Linked DNA regions of Canis lupus familiaris. The protein of the gene in region 1 interacts with the protein of each later gene in a pairwise test. Links are inferred from orthologs where the notes say so. Each region holds a gene or a part of one and is shown on either strand. Other genes may lie near its edges.

Region 1 (4,169 bases):
GAGACATTTATTGGTAGAAAATGACAGGGTAATTCTGCCGCCCCCCTTCCTCCGTTTATTTAAATTACTAGGTCTCATTTTCCTCATCTGCAAAGTCTGGAGATTGGACAGAGACCATCTCCGTGGTTTCTATTAGAGTCTACAGCTCTAATAACGATGTTACAGATGCAGAGAACAGACTGGTGGTTGCCAGATGTGGGGATTGGGAGTAGTGGGTGAGGAGGGTGGTCGAAGGGTACAAATTTCCTATTGTAAAATAAGTCAGTCCTGGGGATGTAAGGTACAGCCTGGTGACCAAAGTTAACAACACTGTATTGTATATTTGTAAGTTGCTAAGACTGATCTTGAATTATTTTTATGTTTTTTTTTTTTTTTTTGAGGTACATTCACCTACAGTGAAATGTGCAGATTTTACGGGTACTATTCCATGAGTTTTGACAAAGGCATATGCCTCTGTAACCCGAAGCCTAAGGAAGAGACAGAGCTTCTCCATCACTAGAGAATTCCGTCTTCAGCCGCACCCCAGCCTCCCCTCCGGCCACCCCTCTTCTGACTCTTACCACGAAGGGTTAAATAAGATTTAAACATTGTTAAATGCCAGTCTTTGTTTCACAGTGGTCCATCGGTATCGACGCCCTGATTTCTCCAAGGCACTGGGCACTAGACATCGTCTCCATTTTGCAGAGTAAGGCGTTCCGCATCCGGGAGTGAACTGCCCCCGGGGATCCGCTGCCCCGGGTAGGGGCAGGGCGGGAACCGAGAAGCGGTTCTGCGGTTTCTACGGTTTCTACGGCCCCGGCCCCGCACCTCTGAGAAGGCTGCTGCAGAGTCCACAAACCATCACCTCAGGAATAGCATACGCCTCAAACGTTCAGCCCAAATCGGCGCCTCTTAGGCGTTCTCAGACCTCAACAATCCGAAAGGCCGTACGCTCTACACCTTACTAAGGGACTCCTCTCCACCCTGCTCCTCCGAAAGCGGCAGAGGGTGTGCAACACTGCAAATGGGATTTTGCTGGTGGAAAGGCCAAAGGGGGACGGGCCGGCCCGGGCCCGACGACCTTTACGGAGCCCGGCGGCGAGACGCCCGGCGCTGCCTCCTCCGGCGCCACAGCTACCGTCTCAGAATAGAGCGGCACCGAGGCGCTCCGCCGACCGCAGCGGACCAGCGTCCGGCCGAGGGATTGGCCGCGGCCGCGGCAGGGCTCGTCGGGCAGTCCCCGAGCTCGATCAGCCGCGCGTCCTCCTCCAGGTCACCGCCCGCCCCTCTCCGCCTCACCCTTGCGCCGCCCTTCCCCCGCACCCGGGCGGGGTTCTCAGGCTCCTCCCCCGAGTTGACTGTGAGCCTCTGTGCTCCCCCCACCGCTCGCCTCGCGGCTGCCATGGCAACCGTACGCCGCCGCCGCCGCCTCTTCACGCACGTCGGGAACTAACGGACTCGGCGGCCGCAGAGGCCTGTGCCCTTCCCCCAACCGGGCCGCATCACCAACCGGCGGCCGAGCTGCGGCACCTAGGTAATGAATCCGAGGGAGAGGGGCGCAAGCAGGAGAGCAGGTGGGGGGGTATCCAGGCTGACAGCCCCACCCAGTGTCCCGCCGCCTAGGCGGTGCGGCGGCGCGGCGGTCGGGGCGCCGGCAGGGGAGGTGGAGAACAGTGGGAGCTCGAGGCTCGCGGGGCATTATGGGGATCGTAGTTTAGCGGCCCCGCAGGCTTGCGGCCGTGGCGGCGTGGCCTGGACCGGCGAACTACAAAGCCCGGCGGCCCTGGCTGCTGGGAAAGACCGATAAACTTTGAGCCTACCGGGCCAGAGAAAATCTGTGTCTTTGTGGTGCTGGGGCTCTTGGGTGGTCGCCGAACTGCGCTCTGCGCTGGGAAAGGGAAGTGGAGGTGAGACTTGGGCTTCCCGTCCTGCCGTTTGGCCCGCCCCGGTTAACAGCGCTCAGCCCCACCCCGACTGGGCTGGGCCACCGCCCCCGGTAGTCTCGGTGATGAGCAGCCGCCCCAGCTGCAGGGCCTCGGGCCTGCGGCGCCTCTGACCCTCCCAGGTTGCTGCTGCCGCTCGGTGCCGAACCGTATGTATGGCACACATTTGATGGGAGACCGAGAAACGGTTTTTTTTAACAGGCCTTTCTCCTTTCCCTAATACGTTTATTTTTAGATATTTAATCATGTTTATTCTGAAGTAGCTCGGAGGTGTTTGCATATTAAAGCCATTAATAATTACTCAGAGGGCATTAATATTTAAAGGTCAAGTGTAGAAGTAGAGACCATGCTATTATATAGTAATACCTTAAAAAAAAACCGTTCTGCCTTTTGCGTTTTATTTATTGAGGGTCAATATTGTAAAATGAGCCCCCCTCACCCCTACTTAATACTAGCTTGAACATTACCTACACATATTTGAAGATTAATTTAGCTTTAAATTACTAGTGATTTTTAAAGCACAGACTGGTCTTTTTTTTTTTTTTTTTTTAAAGCAGTGAGTAGTAGTAATTATTTTCTTTGATTATTTTAATGTTCTTTAGAATTTCTCGGTAGCATGTTTTCAGAATGAAAAATGCCGTGTTCTACTTAAAAAAAAACAAAAAACAAAAAACTCTGCAATACACCTTAGTCCTTAGAGTTGGCTCAGGCCTTGGTGGTAAGGAAGCCCACCAGATTTAAAAAACCTGCCTTGATTATCTTTTAAAATTTTTTCAACAGGTAGATAACGATCCTAGAAATTTGGTATTTTATAGAGTATGTGGAAAAAATTGATAGTAGAGTGGTCTTATTTTGTGTGTTTTACATCATTTTTTTAAAAAAGAATTTATTAGCACAAGCAGAGGGAGCAGCTGAGGGACAGGGAGAAGGAGGCTCCCAGCTTAGCAGAGCTTCTTGATTCCCAAGACCCTGAGATCATGACCTGAGCCAAAGGCAGACACTTGACCAACTGTGTTTTATTTATTTATTTATTTTTAAACTTAAAAAAAAAAAAATTAGTTTTGAGAGAGAACAAGTGGGAAGGGGCAAGGGCAGAGGAGGAAACAAACTTTCCACTGAGCAGCAGGGAGTCTGATGCAGGACTGATCCCAGGACCCTGGGAGCATGACTTGAGCCAAAGGCAGATGCTTAACTGACTGAGTCACCCAGCTCCCCAGACTGTGTTTTAAACAAGAAAATAACACAGCGCCCCTACAAAATTCCCTTTTTCTCAAAATAAGACTGGCTTGTAAATTTTACTTAAAGTACCAATTTTTTACAAGGATATGGAAAGTAAATTTTGTAAGACCATTATAAAAAAATTGAGGCCTTATTAGGGGTTGGAAGCATTTTATTTGTTTATTCAAGATTTGTTAAGAACCTATTATATTGGGGACACCTGGGTGCCTCAGTGGTTGAGCGTCTGCCTTTGGCTCAGGGCGTGATCCTGGAGTCCAGTGATCGAGTCCCACATCGGGCTCCCTGCATGGAGCCTGCCTCTCCCTCTGCCTGTGTCTCTGCCTCTTTCTGTGTCTCTCATGAATAAATAAATAAAATCTACAAAAGAACCTATTATATTGTATATTATGCCTGGTAGTGGGAATAAAAAGATGATAGAAGATAATCTGTGTTCTGTATGAGCAAACAGTTACATCATCACAATAGTATGATAGAGGTAGGTGCAAGTTACTGTAGGATCCCAGAGTGGGAATAAATAGTCATATAACATTTAACTGTTATTGAATACTTAATTTTAGTGAGGCTCCGTGCAGTATTTTGCACGTAGCCCATTATTTAATTCTCATAAAAATTTCTAGCTACTGTTATTTAGAAATGAGGAAGCAAACTAAGAGATCTTGTCCAGAGTCATAGGTGATAAAGTTTGAACCTGGGATTTCAACTCAGGTGGGGTATAACTCATTTAAGTCATGATCTCAGCCCCTGATGCCATTCTCTGTACCCATTGGTAGAAAGATTCTGACCCTAAGGAGATTAGGGGAAGTTTCCAGTATGGTGTGACATTTGACTTGTGTTAAGAAAGTTGAGTAACCTTTCAATGGAAGAGAAGATGAGGAAAGTCATTTTAGGCAAATGGCAAAGGATAATTTCTAGTGGTTTGTGTTTGCAGAACCCTAGGTCTTTCTTATACCTCAGTCCCAGAGTATGAGTACTTGCAGTGTAGTGGGTGGAAGATGGTAAAGTACTTGG
Region 2 (4,161 bases), on another chromosome or scaffold:
CACCTTCTTCTCTCGGCAAGCAGTTCCTTTCCCACCAATGCGCACCTGTGCTTGCAGTTTGGCGAGTTTCTCCCCGTTCACAATGGTTTCTTTCCTCTTGTTGGAGCAGAAATGGGACCGCGCGCGGAGGGGAGGGGAGGGGAGCGGGGGGGGGGGGGGGGTGGCGCTCAGGGGGTCTCGGGAGACCAGGTGCACAAACCGAGAAATCATTTCTATACAGCGCCAGTTTACAGCCATACCTACGGATTCCCCGAACCAAATCTCTAGCATACAGAAACGAACCTTGCTTAGGGGATACTGAGAAGTTTGATTACCCAAAATATCAATCACTAGGCAGCTCTCTGACGCCTTTAAGTCCTGGTTTTAAAAAAAAAAAAAATAAGTTCAATCCCTTTCTCCCAACAATTCTCTACAGGAAAAACAAAACAAAACAAACACAAAACACAACAACCCTCCACAACTGCAAATAGTAGGCATCCGTTTACTTATGTACCTAATGGAATTCGAGACGTGCCAAGGAAATAGTCATTTTTCAACTTCATTAACTGGTCTCTCTGCCCTACGAGTGAGAACAAGTCATAGTGAAATCAAATCACTCAGAAAGGGAGCTAGGAACAATTTTTCGCGAAGAATTAAAGTGTAGGGCAGCCCGGGTGGCTCAGCGGGTTGGCGGCTGCCTTCGGCCCAGGGCGTGACCCTGGAGACCCGGGGTCGAGTCCCACGTCGAGTCCCACGTCGGGCTCCCTGCGTGGAGCCTGCTTCTCCCTCTGCCGTGTCTCTCACGAATAAATAAATAAATAAAATCTTTTTTTAAAAAAAATTAAGGTGCATGGAGAACGGCAGGCGCGTTTTCCCCTCTCACCGGTGGGTCGCACTGTTCAAATGTCTTTGCTCATCAAGTTTAACTGAATCAGAAAATGGGAGGAGCGGGCCGACCATCCGACAGCAGGAAACACGCGGAATCGATCCGTGACTCGGCGGGGAACCGGCTTTCGTCAGCGGTTCCTCCTGGTGGGCGTGGACAAGTCATCTCACCCTCTCGGGCTTCGGTTTCCCACCGCTGGGCGGAGATACCTGCCGGTCGCCGCCTTTCCAGCCGCCCCCGGGGCGCCTCACAACCTGCCCTTTCACCCCGCGCCTCTCTGCGCCTGCGTCGAAGAAGCGCCCGCACTTCATTGCCTGTTAGCTTTCTCTGCGCAGGCGCCAAGTTTCCCCACCTCCGTCTCCTGCGGTGGGGGGAGGGGCGGGACTTCCTGTCCCCCGTAGGGCTCCGCCGGAAGTGACGGCGAGCGAATCGGCGTGCGCCGGGCCTGGAACCGGGTAAGGTGGCGGTGCTCATTGCTGCCTCTAGGCCTCAAAGATGCCGGGCCTGGCGGCCGCAAGCCCTGCCCCATCTGACTCACAGGAGAAGAAGCCGCTGAAGCCCTGCTGCGCCTGCCCGGAGACCAAGAAGGCGCGCGATGCGTGGTCAGTGCGCAAGCGGGAGGGGGCGGCGGGCAGGTGCCTCCGTACCCCGCTCGGCCTCGGGCTCGTACCGGACCCGGCTCGCTGTGCTGCGCCCTTGGGAGTTGTAGGGCGCCGTGGGCTGTGGGCCGGCTGTCCCCGTAGCCCAGCCGGGGGACGTGGACGAAGCGGGCTCGCTTCACCCGTTCAGCTTTTCTGCAAAGGGTCTTTGAGCATCTGTTACGCGTCAAGTGCTGCCCTTCGGTCTCCTAAATACGTAGAAATAGATGAAAGATGCGAATTGACTTAAAAAGGAGCTTAAAATTAATGGAAGTCTATACTAATGATTGCTGTTACCACCCGGTACGGGGTAGGAGAGAAGACTTGGCAAGATCGAAGAGTAAAAGTTTTCTGGTAAAATTTTAGCACAGCGGGACCCGGTTACGTGTCTTAAAAGTACTGGAGTCCCCCTTGCCTCTCCTCCTCCATCATCTTTGGAGAGATGAATGAAAAAAATCATCTGTGAAGCAGGGTGACACCGTGTTGAGAATAGTACATCTAAATTACCAATTACCATCAACCCACGGAAGGTTTCGTTTCTTTTCATTTGATACCGCCTCCGTTGTGGATTGTGGAACAAATCTCATTCGGGGGAATGGGCAGAAAATGTGAATGCACACCTCTCCCTCCAGCCCCTTTTTTATCCTCACACCAAAAAAAAAAAAAAAATTCAAAAGTGGCATAGTGCGGTTAAGTTGTAAGGAGCTTAGTGCTTTTTATTACTGCTCGATACTTCGCAACTAATACCGCGAAAGAATCGAAAGGCGACAGTCTGATGCAGAAATGGCTTTCCTAGTTTACAGTAAGTGCTTATTGAATCTTAAAAAGAGCCCGGAGTCATGACTGAGAGCCTGAGATGCAGAGTCAAGGTTTGATTTGAATCCTTGGTCCACCAGCTTTGTGACCTTGAGCAAATCACTTAAGGTACCTGCGTCCTGTGTCTGTAAAATGGGTCTAATAAAAGTGTCCGCCTCTAGGATTACTGTACAGGTCAATGATACAAGCCACACGAGGGCCTCGCCAGCTGTTCTCTTCACAGGGGGCTCTATCCCCAGCATCCCTTCATCTGCAGGCAGCCCTTGAGCTATTGAAGGATGTATGGTCTTTCTTTCTTTCTTTCTTTCTTTCTTTCTTTCTTTCTTTCTTTCTTTCTTTCTTTCTTTCTTTCTTTCTTTCTTTCTTTCTTTCTTTCTTTCTTTCTTTCTTTCTTTCTTTCTTTCTTTCTTTCTTTCTTTCTTTCTTTCTTTCTTTCTTTTCTTTAAAGAAGGAAAACCTATCCTTCCGATTGTTTTCATGTTAGTTGCCTCAGACCACTATGCACAAATATCTATAGTCAGTAGTCAGTTTTTTCTTATAATTAAATTCGGCTTAACTTCATCTTTACTAAAATTGCCTTTTCAGGCCCTAGAAGTCAAGCTGTATGGTCCTAGTTTTTACTTTGTGCATCCTACAAATAGAAAGTTCTTTGATCATCATGAGGGAGGCTCATTAGGCTGCTGTTGGCTGGCAGATCTTGATGTTTATGTGGTTGGGTGTATTTTGATTAGAAGGAGATTTATTTGGGTCTATTTGAATGTAGGGCAGAATGAAAAATTTAATTATTTTATAGTAGGCAAATTGAAGGTAAATGTTCAGATGGTTTATTTCATTAGAGAACTATGTATGTTCCTTGGATATAAGCTAGAGGCAATATTTGATAGGCATAATTATTTCTTCTAATTAGATTCTCCCTAAAAGCTAGTTGTCTGTGGAATATCTTCATGGGCACAGAAATATTACAAAAGCCAATAAAAACAAAGCCATTCGGTGTAATAGCATTTTTTTTTAAAGCTCCAGCTACTGTTGGCAAATCAAACTCCAATAAAAAGATAAATACAAAAATGAAGAAATAAAAAAATAAAGCTTCAGCTACATTCCATCAGACCCATGTTCTGTCTCACCCCCCATCACTATCATGCTGCTTGTTTACTAGTAATGTACTTAATGCCTACTTTGTTAGATAACAAGTACATTTTGTTTTATAGCATCATTGAGAAAGGAGAGGAGCACTGTGGACACCTAATTGAGGCCCACAAGGAGTGCATGAGAGCCCTGGGATTTAAGATATGAAATGGTGAGCGTGATACTTTCTGATTGGGAAGATAATACATAAGCTTATTGCTTCAAATTTGTGCTTTGCATATTTAGCAGTCATTGGGCAAGCTTCCATTCAAAGTGTAGTTCACCTGGTTAAGATGCTCAAGTCTCACTTAAAAATAATTTTCAGTTTCTAATGTAGGGACTAAATGATGCTAATAAGTTGAGAGGCATTCAGTGGATTTGGGGAGGGAGAATTTATCTTTTAAAACAGGGTTTGATAAAAGCCTTTAGAGTTACGTCAGAGTCAGAAGAGATAATAATTTAAGAAGCTCAGAATGTTCAGTTGTCTGACTTAAAGGAACTAAAAAGAAAATAATCTTTACTTCTTGTCTCTGAAGTGGGTCTTTATTTTTTTAAGGATTTTGTTTCTTTGACAGAGAGGACAAGCAGGGGGAATGGGAGAGGGAGAAGCAGACTCCTCACGGAGCAGGGAGCCAGATGTAGGGCTCCATCCCAGGACCCCAGGATCATGAGCCGAAGGCAGATGCTTAACCAACTGAGCCACCCAGGTGCCCTGTT
Region 3 (4,015 bases), on another chromosome or scaffold:
ACTGCTGCGCCACCCAGGGATCCCGCTTTACAATTTATTTAAGAAGCAGGACAATAGTTTGATCAAAAAAAATTTCATGGAAACCATTGATTGAATATATAACACCCTAACATGTATTCTCTTTGAGTTTTTACATTTTTTCACATAAATGTAATTATAGTATATTTACTTTCTATTAACTTGCTCATATTCACTAAACATTTATTCAATACATTATGTTCTAGGCAGTGGAATCCAAAATAATTGACATGTAGTTCCTAACTTAAAGGAATTTAGGGCATAGTGCAGCAAGAAGGGTAGATACGTGCTCAAGGGACGTCAACAAACACAAGTGCAATTTGGTAAGTGCTATTACATAGACTGTTCTGGGACAAAGAAGATTGCCCAATAGGGCCAAGACCCTTGTACAGTCTGACATCAGTCTCAAAGGTTCATTAGAGATAACAGATAAAGCCAGAAAAGTAGAAAGAAGCAGGAAAGCAATCCACAGGTCTGGTCTTCCTATGATCATATAAATACACATTTTAGAATGAACTGGAAGGGGAAAAGCCTTTTCCACCTTATTCAAACAGTCTGCCATGAACACAAAATATCTTTAAAAGGAGAAGACAAAATGGGGATGGAAATCTTGTGTCCCTAGATCACCATCATCTTCAAGGGTCCAAACTCTCTAATTGGCCCTTTTCAACCTCACCTCCCAACCAGACTCTCATAGCACTCTTCTTCCCTCACCCCAACCCTGACCATATCAGATAACTTGGAGTCAAAGGAATAAAAGTCTGAAAATACAGAACCATTTTCAAACCAATTTAAAAATAATATAAGGCTGGTGGAATGCAAATGGGTGCAAATGGATACTGCTAGAAGACATTTAAAATGAAAATTCCTTAAAAATTTGCAATCTTTGGGGATTCCTGGGTGGCTCGGCGGTTTAGACCTTGCCTTCGGCCCAGGGTGTGATCCTGGAGTCCTGGGATGGAGCCTGCTTCTCCCTCTGCCTGTGTCTCTGCCCCCTCTTTGTCTCTGTGGCTCTTGTGAAGAAATGAATAAAATCTTAAAAAAAAAAAACGTGCAATCTTTGATCCAGCAACTGCATTCTTAGGAATTTTAGTAAGAAAAGACATAGGGTTAATAAACACTGTTTGTTTATAAAAGGGGAAAAAAAAACGGGAAACAAGTATCCATAACAGGTTATATTATTATATAGGTATAGAACTCAATACAAAAATCCAATAGCTAGTGTGCTTTTTTTTTTTTTTTAAGATTTTATTTGAAAGAGAGTAAGAGCTAGAGAGCATGGGTGGGGGAGTGGGCAGAGGTAGAGGGAGAAGGGATAAGCTGTGTCCCCACTGAGCAGGGAGCCCGATGCAGGGCTCCAATCCAGGACCCCGGGATCATGATGGGAGCTGAAGGCGGATCCTAACCAAATGTGCCACCCAGGCGCTTCTTTAGAGTACTTTTTTAATCAAAAAAAAAAAAAAAAAAAAAGCATTCGTGGCAGGCACTCCTTTTACCCTCATAAGCCTTGCAAGTAGGTAATTTTTTTTAAAAAAAGATTTATTTATTCATGGGAGACACCGAGAGAGGCAGAGACACAGGCAGTAAGAGGAGAAGCAGGCTCCCTGCAGGGCGCACGATGCGGGCGGGCGGGCGGGCCTCATCCCGGGACCCCGGGGTCACGCCCCGAGCGGAAGGGAGGCGTTCGACCGCCGAGCCCCCCAGGCGTCCTAAAGCAGGTGGATTATCCAACTCCTACCTACGAAGAGGCTGAAGCCCTAAATATCTAACGTGTCCAGAGTCACACAAGTAAGTAAAGAGCCAGGATCCGAGGGAGGCCATCTGAATGTCAAGCCCATAAGCTGCCCACGTCCGCACTGCTCCCAGCTCTGGGGCAGCAAGGTCACAGAAGGATTCGCCTTGCGCGACGAGGGCACACAAGGCTGAGGACGGAGCTCAGCGGACACGCCGCCGACGAGGCCCGCCCGCCCCAGGGGATGTGGCCTCCTGAGGCGCTCCTGCCGGCCCTGACGCGAAGGGAAAGGAAGAGCAGCTAACCGAGGGGCTACAGTTCTACGGCACAAGTGTCCCTCGGGGTCTTTGTGATTCACAAGAAAAACGCATGCGTATCAGCAGCCTAACGTCCAGAAGGAGACGCCCAACCGTCCGAACGTTAACGCTTTACTAGAGGAAGAACCGCCTTAACTGGCCGCCGGCAAGGCCGCCAGTGGCCCGAGGCCCGAGGCCCGCGTCAGCCTACAGACATTCGTTTGAAAGCCTCCCTTGCCCTCAAGCCCCCAGCCCCCAGGTGTAGCGTCAGCCACCCCCGGGAACCCAAGGGGGCTGCAGCCCTTCCTGCCCCCAGGTCCCGTCCCGGGCTTTAATGAAAGCACCATTTTGCACCAAAGACGTCTCCAGACTTCCTCCTCGGTCGTGGGCTGCGGACCGGACCCCACCCCACCCCACCCCCCACCCCGATTCCAAAACTTCATCAGCAGGATTGATGTGACTTGAATAACACAGACCCAACTCCCGGGACCTGGCAGGCGCTCGTTCGCCTCGGGAAGCCAGTCAAGAACCCGCTCCCGGTCGGAGGACCCCACGCGGATCCGGGCGTGAAGCCGAGGCCTGCGCCTCGTGTTTCCGGGGCGCGCAGGAACTCGAGAAGGCGAGCTCGGCTTTCACCCCTAGCGCAGGGGCAGGGCGCACCGCAGCCCGCCTCCCGCTCGCTCGCTCGCGTGCACGTCGGGGCTCCCGGGATACACCCCCAGGGCCGCGCGACCTGGGGAGCCGCGGCCGGCCGTCCTCCGCGGCGGGGCCCCCCGCCCCCGCGGAGGCCCCGCCCACTTCCAGACCGGAAGTGACGTCTATGCTAAGCGCCGGAAGCGGGCCGCGGGGAGACCCAGACGTAGCGGCGTCCGGGGCCGGGGCCGGGGCCAGGGCCTGGACCCCGCCGGGGAGTGACGAGGTTCGCTGCTCCGGTAGGAGGCGGGTGCCATGACGGCCCAGGGGAGCCTGGTGGCCAACCGAGGCCGGCGTTTCAAGTGGGCCATTGAGCTGAGCGGGCCTGGAGGAGGCAGCAGGTGAGGAGCCGGGGCGGAGCTCGGTAACCCGAGCCTTCAACCAGAACGGTCGCCCGGGAACGGGACCTGACCCCAGGTCCAACCCTCCGAGAATGACGGGTGGCACAAAGACGGGCCCCGGGGAGCTTTCTAATCCTCCGAGGATCCTGATTTCACTCACTCGATAGGCAGACGTCTGACGAACCCACGAGACGGCGTGTTCTAATCTGGGCGGGTGTATTTTAGGGTCTTTGGAAAATTCCATGGTTAGTGGAGCGGGAACGTGGAATGTGAAGGGTGGGAGGCTGCAGCCTTAGTTTCTTGGTTTGGTTCCTTAGGAGCCGAAGTGACCGGGGCGGTGGCCAGGGAGACTCGCTGTACCCCGTCGGTTATTTGGACAAGCAAGTGCCGGATACCAGCGTGCAAGAGGCGGACCGCATTCTGGTGGAGAAGGTACAGAGGTACAGCTGTCACAGCCGTGCTCAGCCCGGCTCTGCCCTGCACGGCCCCCTCCCGTCCCAGGCAGCATATGAATAGCCAACTGTAGGAGGCTTATCCCTAATATGGGTAGATAAACTGCTTGAGATTAACTTACAGTAGTACAAGCGCTTAATAATTGGAAAAATAAGATGTTTGAACGTATAACTAGGTTGAAAATTATTAGTGCCAGCGCGTAAGAGTTACTCTAGTTCCCTTACAACCACACAGCCAGTGTGTCAGGATATTCTTTTTGCTTTATGTTGAGACAGATGAAAAATTTGCTGTTTTTCACTGCTTCCTGTTTTAACTGTCATTCTGAGTGATTTCATCTCTTACCACTTTCCCGTTTGTTCTTCATTCCACTCTAGTCAGAATGGCCTCCTTGCTGCTCCTTGAAAATAGCGGGCAGGCTTCCATCTCTCTCGGACTGCTTGTACATGTTCTTTCCCTCTTCCTGGAACACTCTTCCCCCAGAT
Region 4 (3,972 bases), on another chromosome or scaffold:
GCTCCACTGACTGAGCCAGCACTTCATTTTCTATTTTGCTTCACCTCATCCACTCTACTGCAGCCACACTGGTCCCTCATTGAACTCACTGGGAAGGCTCCAGGTCAGGGCCTTTGTATGTACTACCCACTCTGCTTTAGCTGCTCTTCCCCCCATTTATTGTAAGACTCACTCTCTCATCTTCAAATCTTTGCTCAAATGTCACCTTTCAGTAAGACTTTTTTTTTAAGATTTTATTTATTCATGACAGATACAGAGAGAGGCAGAGACACAGGCAGAAGGAGAAGCAGGCTCCTCGCAAGGAGCTTGATATGGGACTCAATCCCGGGACTGAGATCATGCCCTGAGTCAAAGGCAGACGCCCAACCGCTGAGCCACTCAGGTGTCCCTCGGTAAGACTTTTTTTGACCACCCTATCTAAAGTTGTGTCCTGTCTCTGTACCCCCTAGTCCCCTTCTCTGTTTTATTTTTATCCCTTTTCCTTAGCAATTATCACTCTGACATACAGAATCATTTACTTATTTGTGTATTGTTTGCCTCCTGCCACTAGAATGTAAGCTCCGAGATGGCAACGATTTTTGACTGTTGTGTCCAGTGATGTTTCTTCAGTGCCCAGAAGACTTGTGCTGGGCACAAAGTAGGGTTACTGAATGAATGAATAAATGAATGAATGCAAGCATCTAGGACAAGGCAATCCTAAATGACCCCAAATCTCCAATACTTCTCCAAGAGCCCCTTGGCGTCACCTCCTTCCTCTTACCTGGGCCTCACTGAGCCCCAGCTCAATGTTTTCCATGGAACGTCGCAGCTGCCGGGCCTTCTCATGCACCAGTCCTTCTTCATGGCCACCTTGCTGCAGACACTCAATGGTATGGGACAGACTTTGCAGGACAGCCTGATGTTCACTGTGTAGAGCCTCCAGCCCCTGGCTTACCAGCCGAGTGCTTCCCAGGATCTCCTCCTGGCTGAGCCGGTGCCCTGCAGGCTCATCCCGCTGACCCAACACCAGGCCTGACATCTTAGCCAGGGGGACCTTGCCTGGGCTGAGGAGAAACAACAGAACTCAGTAGAGGTAAAGATAAGAGAGACTGAGCACCTTGGTTAGAGGGTGGTAAGGATCCAAGGGAAGGGATGAGAGAGAGTATGGGTGATCTTCTGGTTTAATTGGAGAGACAGTGGCCAGTGGGGAGGGAGCCTACAAAGCTAAAGTTGTGGGAAAGAGAGAGGAAGAAGAATTGACTCGAATGAAGAAAGACTATAGAAGGAACAAAAGTGCTGAGAACCAGCTAACAAATTTAGCACTTAGGAAGAGAATAGAAAAGTTGTCGGAAATAGCGCTTGGGCTAGGAATAGGAAAAGGAATCAGATGAGAGACAGCATTAGAGGGAACACAGAGGGTGTCTGGAGAATGCTGCAAAGTTAACAGGGTTAAAGCCAACAAAAGATATAAAGAAAATGGTACAGAGGTTTTGTTAAATGGGAAAGGTACAGGTTTCAAAGTTAGAGGGAAGAGGGAGAGAAGAAGAAAGGCACCTTCACTGCAGGACCCAAATGAGAGTCCCCCAGGAAGCTCAAGGTCTTCAGACTCCGTCACCCTCAGAGCCAAGGCCAGCATCTCCAAACCTAGTAAACTGCCTCTTCCCCCACTAGGCCTTCAACCGATACTTCCCACCTGCCAGGTGCCAGGCTCTCTTCCCACCTCCTCAAAAGACCTTGTTTCTCATCTTTCCAGGACTCTTACCGGTTTAGAGCAGAGCCCTTGCCTGTGGCACTCAGGCCAGAGCCCGGAAGAAACTCTTTCAGTAGCCAGGTACTCACAGGATCTGCCCTGCCCAAAGTCCAGAAGTCCAGCGTTCCCACCCCTTCTCTCTCCACTTCACAGCCACCCAGAGGACCTGGCACAGAGCCCTACTCAGGGCAGCACCCTCCCTCTCTCTACCTCCAAGGCCTTCAAAGGCGACCAACGTCGGTCCCTCTTCCTTCCTGAAGCCGACCTTCCACCCCAGGCCACTGGGAGCTATTTTCTCCCAAGAATGGAGTGATACTTGATCCGAGACCTGTGGCCAGGGGCGTGTCTGGGAAGGGAGAGGAGGGAGACCTGGTCACTCCTGAGCCATTCACTTTCAAGGCTTTGTCTTTGTCATGACCACCTAGTAATAGGCTCCAAGAGGAGTCACCTCAGGGTGCCTCTCAGACGCCTGAAGATGCAGGAAAGAATGGCAGGTCTTCAGAGCGGCTGTAGAGTCACAGGGAAACGCGGCGCCGGGAGTTGGTCTCCCAGCCTGGGAATGCAGTAGAGAAATGTCCCCGGCTGTCGACCTGCCCTGGGGCCCAGGGTGGGGACAGAGTGAAACGGGCGGGGGCGATGGCGGTGGGGGGAGGTGCGGGTGGCCGGCCGAGGCCCGCCGCACCGGCGAGCCCCCAGCCGCCCGACAATCCCGAGGTCAACGTGTCTGTCCGTAGCGCAGGGGGCGGGGCAGGCCGTCTGTCTGTCTGTCTGGACGCCGAGGGGCGGGAAGACTCGCAGGGGGCGGAGTTTTTCAGCCAGTCTGGAGTTGTGCGAGGTCAGCTGGTGGGAATTTGTTCATCTGTCCGGGAATGCGGAAAAGAGGTAGCGGGACCTCAGCCCTCAGCCCCAGGAGTACCCTCGAAGACTCACCCGCAGTCTGTCGCTCTGGCCGCCTCCCTTGCCGGTACTGCCCCTTTAAATTAATCATGGCTGCCGCTCGAGGCAATTGTTTTGACGGCTCCGAGGGGAGGGGCCGAGTGCTCCCCAGTCACGCGACCTAAGGACCGCCCGGGGATTGGCTCTGGCCACGCGCACGGAGGTGTGTATGCACCTTGGGCTCGGAGTCTCTGCCCACCTCTTTACGTCATGAAGGAGCGACCGCACCAGGATTCGTTGGCGTCATCTATAGACGCCAGGCGGCCTGACTAAAAGTAATGGTGGTGCGCTGACTCCTGCGGAGCCTCGGTACCCTCATGGCCCTGAGGGCACTGACTCGCGCCCTGGGCTCCCTGAGCCTGACGCCCCCAGCCGCTGCTGCCCTCGGCCCGGGCCTGCTGCCAGCAGCCCAGGTAATCCACCCTATCTGGAAATGCTGTTTCTGTTCGGGCCGCCGGAGAGGGTACCCCGGCATGGGAGGCGGAGAATGAGTCTGGTCAGAAGTCACGCCCGCCCGGCCCGAGCGCTTGAATAAATCACTCTCAGCCTCAGCTTTCTGATTTGTTAAGTGTTCCTGTCCCACCAGGCCGCTGGATTCCTCGGATGAGATACGGAGGCGAAAGTACTTTACAGGCCACTGTACAGGGTTCAATAGTAACTGATAGCACCAATCGTAAGCCAAGCATAAGTAATAGATAATTTAAAGAAATGAACTCCTTTCAACCAATGTATAAGGCAGTTGTCATTACCATTTTATATATGAGAAAACTGATTGGCAGTCCAAGGTCATACACCAAATATTGGAGCTAGACAGTCTGGCTTCACAATCTGGGCTCTTAACCACTAAAGATGAATTATTGCTGAGATTAGAGAATGCGGGGCAAAATAACAAGATTAGGAGCCGAAGGAAAGGTATCCTCTATGTCCCTTGTGGACGATTGGTAAGTCACAGAAAAGTTTTAAGTCTTGTTCCTCTGGACCTTTCTGGATGATGGTAGACTTTGGCAGATGCATACTTAAAATTCAAAACCAAGGTAACTTACTCCAAAATGCTGGGAATACAGCAGAGAACAAGACAAATGATCCCTCCACCCCATTCACATCTGGAAAACTCCCAGAAACAGAATACAGAGGGGCAAAAGGCACTGGCACTGATGGTGGCTATGGGTGTGTGAAAGTTACCAGGCTTGGAAAAGGGAATTGTTTAGGGAAGGAAGAGCCTCCCAGAGAAGAGAGGTTCTGAGCCAAGTTTGGAAGGTGATGCACAACGGGAAGAACATGCCATTGAAGAAATACTTCGGAGGTTA

Evidence for each region.
Region 2: the proteins of KATNAL1 (region 1) and COX17 interact in binary tests that used the Homo sapiens proteins (3 or more experiments, as listed by UniProt). The two-hybrid records come from large-scale screens. The link is inferred for Canis lupus familiaris from reciprocal best matches to the Homo sapiens genes KATNAL1 and COX17.
Region 3: the proteins of KATNAL1 (region 1) and KATNBL1 interact in binary tests that used the Homo sapiens proteins (3 or more experiments, as listed by UniProt). The two-hybrid records come from large-scale screens. The link is inferred for Canis lupus familiaris from reciprocal best matches to the Homo sapiens genes KATNAL1 and KATNBL1.
Region 4: the proteins of KATNAL1 (region 1) and KLC4 interact in binary tests that used the Homo sapiens proteins (3 or more experiments, as listed by UniProt). The two-hybrid records come from large-scale screens. The link is inferred for Canis lupus familiaris from reciprocal best matches to the Homo sapiens genes KATNAL1 and KLC4.

Annotation. Positions count from the first base shown.
Region 1 is NC_049246.1:9,765,971-9,770,139, forward strand, and holds the start of KATNAL1 (katanin p60 ATPase-containing subunit A-like 1), read left to right. Parts: upstream 1-1,365; 5' UTR 1,366-1,513; intron 1,514-4,169. UniProt on the Homo sapiens protein: Regulates microtubule dynamics in Sertoli cells, a process that is essential for spermiogenesis and male fertility. Severs microtubules in an ATP-dependent manner, promoting rapid reorganization of cellular microtubule arrays.
Region 2 is NC_049254.1:23,955,771-23,959,931, reverse strand, and holds the start of COX17 (cytochrome c oxidase copper chaperone), read left to right. Parts: upstream 1-1,355; 5' UTR 1,356-1,360; coding exon 1,361-1,467; intron 1,468-3,527; coding exon 3,528-3,612; 3' UTR 3,613-3,616; intron 3,617-4,161.
Region 3 is NC_049251.1:1,135,076-1,139,090, reverse strand, and holds the start of KATNBL1 (KATNB1-like protein 1), read right to left. Parts: upstream 2,807-4,015; 5' UTR 2,523-2,806; intron 1-2,522. Other genes in the region: EMC4 (ER membrane protein complex subunit 4), read left to right, coding at 2,995-3,080, 3,398-3,512.
Region 4 is NC_049233.1:11,765,620-11,769,591, reverse strand, and holds the start of KLC4 (kinesin light chain 4), read right to left. Parts: upstream 2,807-3,972; 5' UTR 2,660-2,806; intron 2,654-2,659; exon of another isoform or gene 2,570-2,653; 5' UTR 2,178-2,569; intron 2,171-2,177; exon of another isoform or gene 2,076-2,170; 5' UTR 1,940-2,075; intron 1,901-1,939; exon of another isoform or gene 1,742-1,900; intron 1,044-1,741; 5' UTR 1,019-1,043; coding exon 761-1,018; intron 1-760. Other genes in the region: MRPL2 (39S ribosomal protein L2, mitochondrial), read left to right, coding at 2,983-3,078.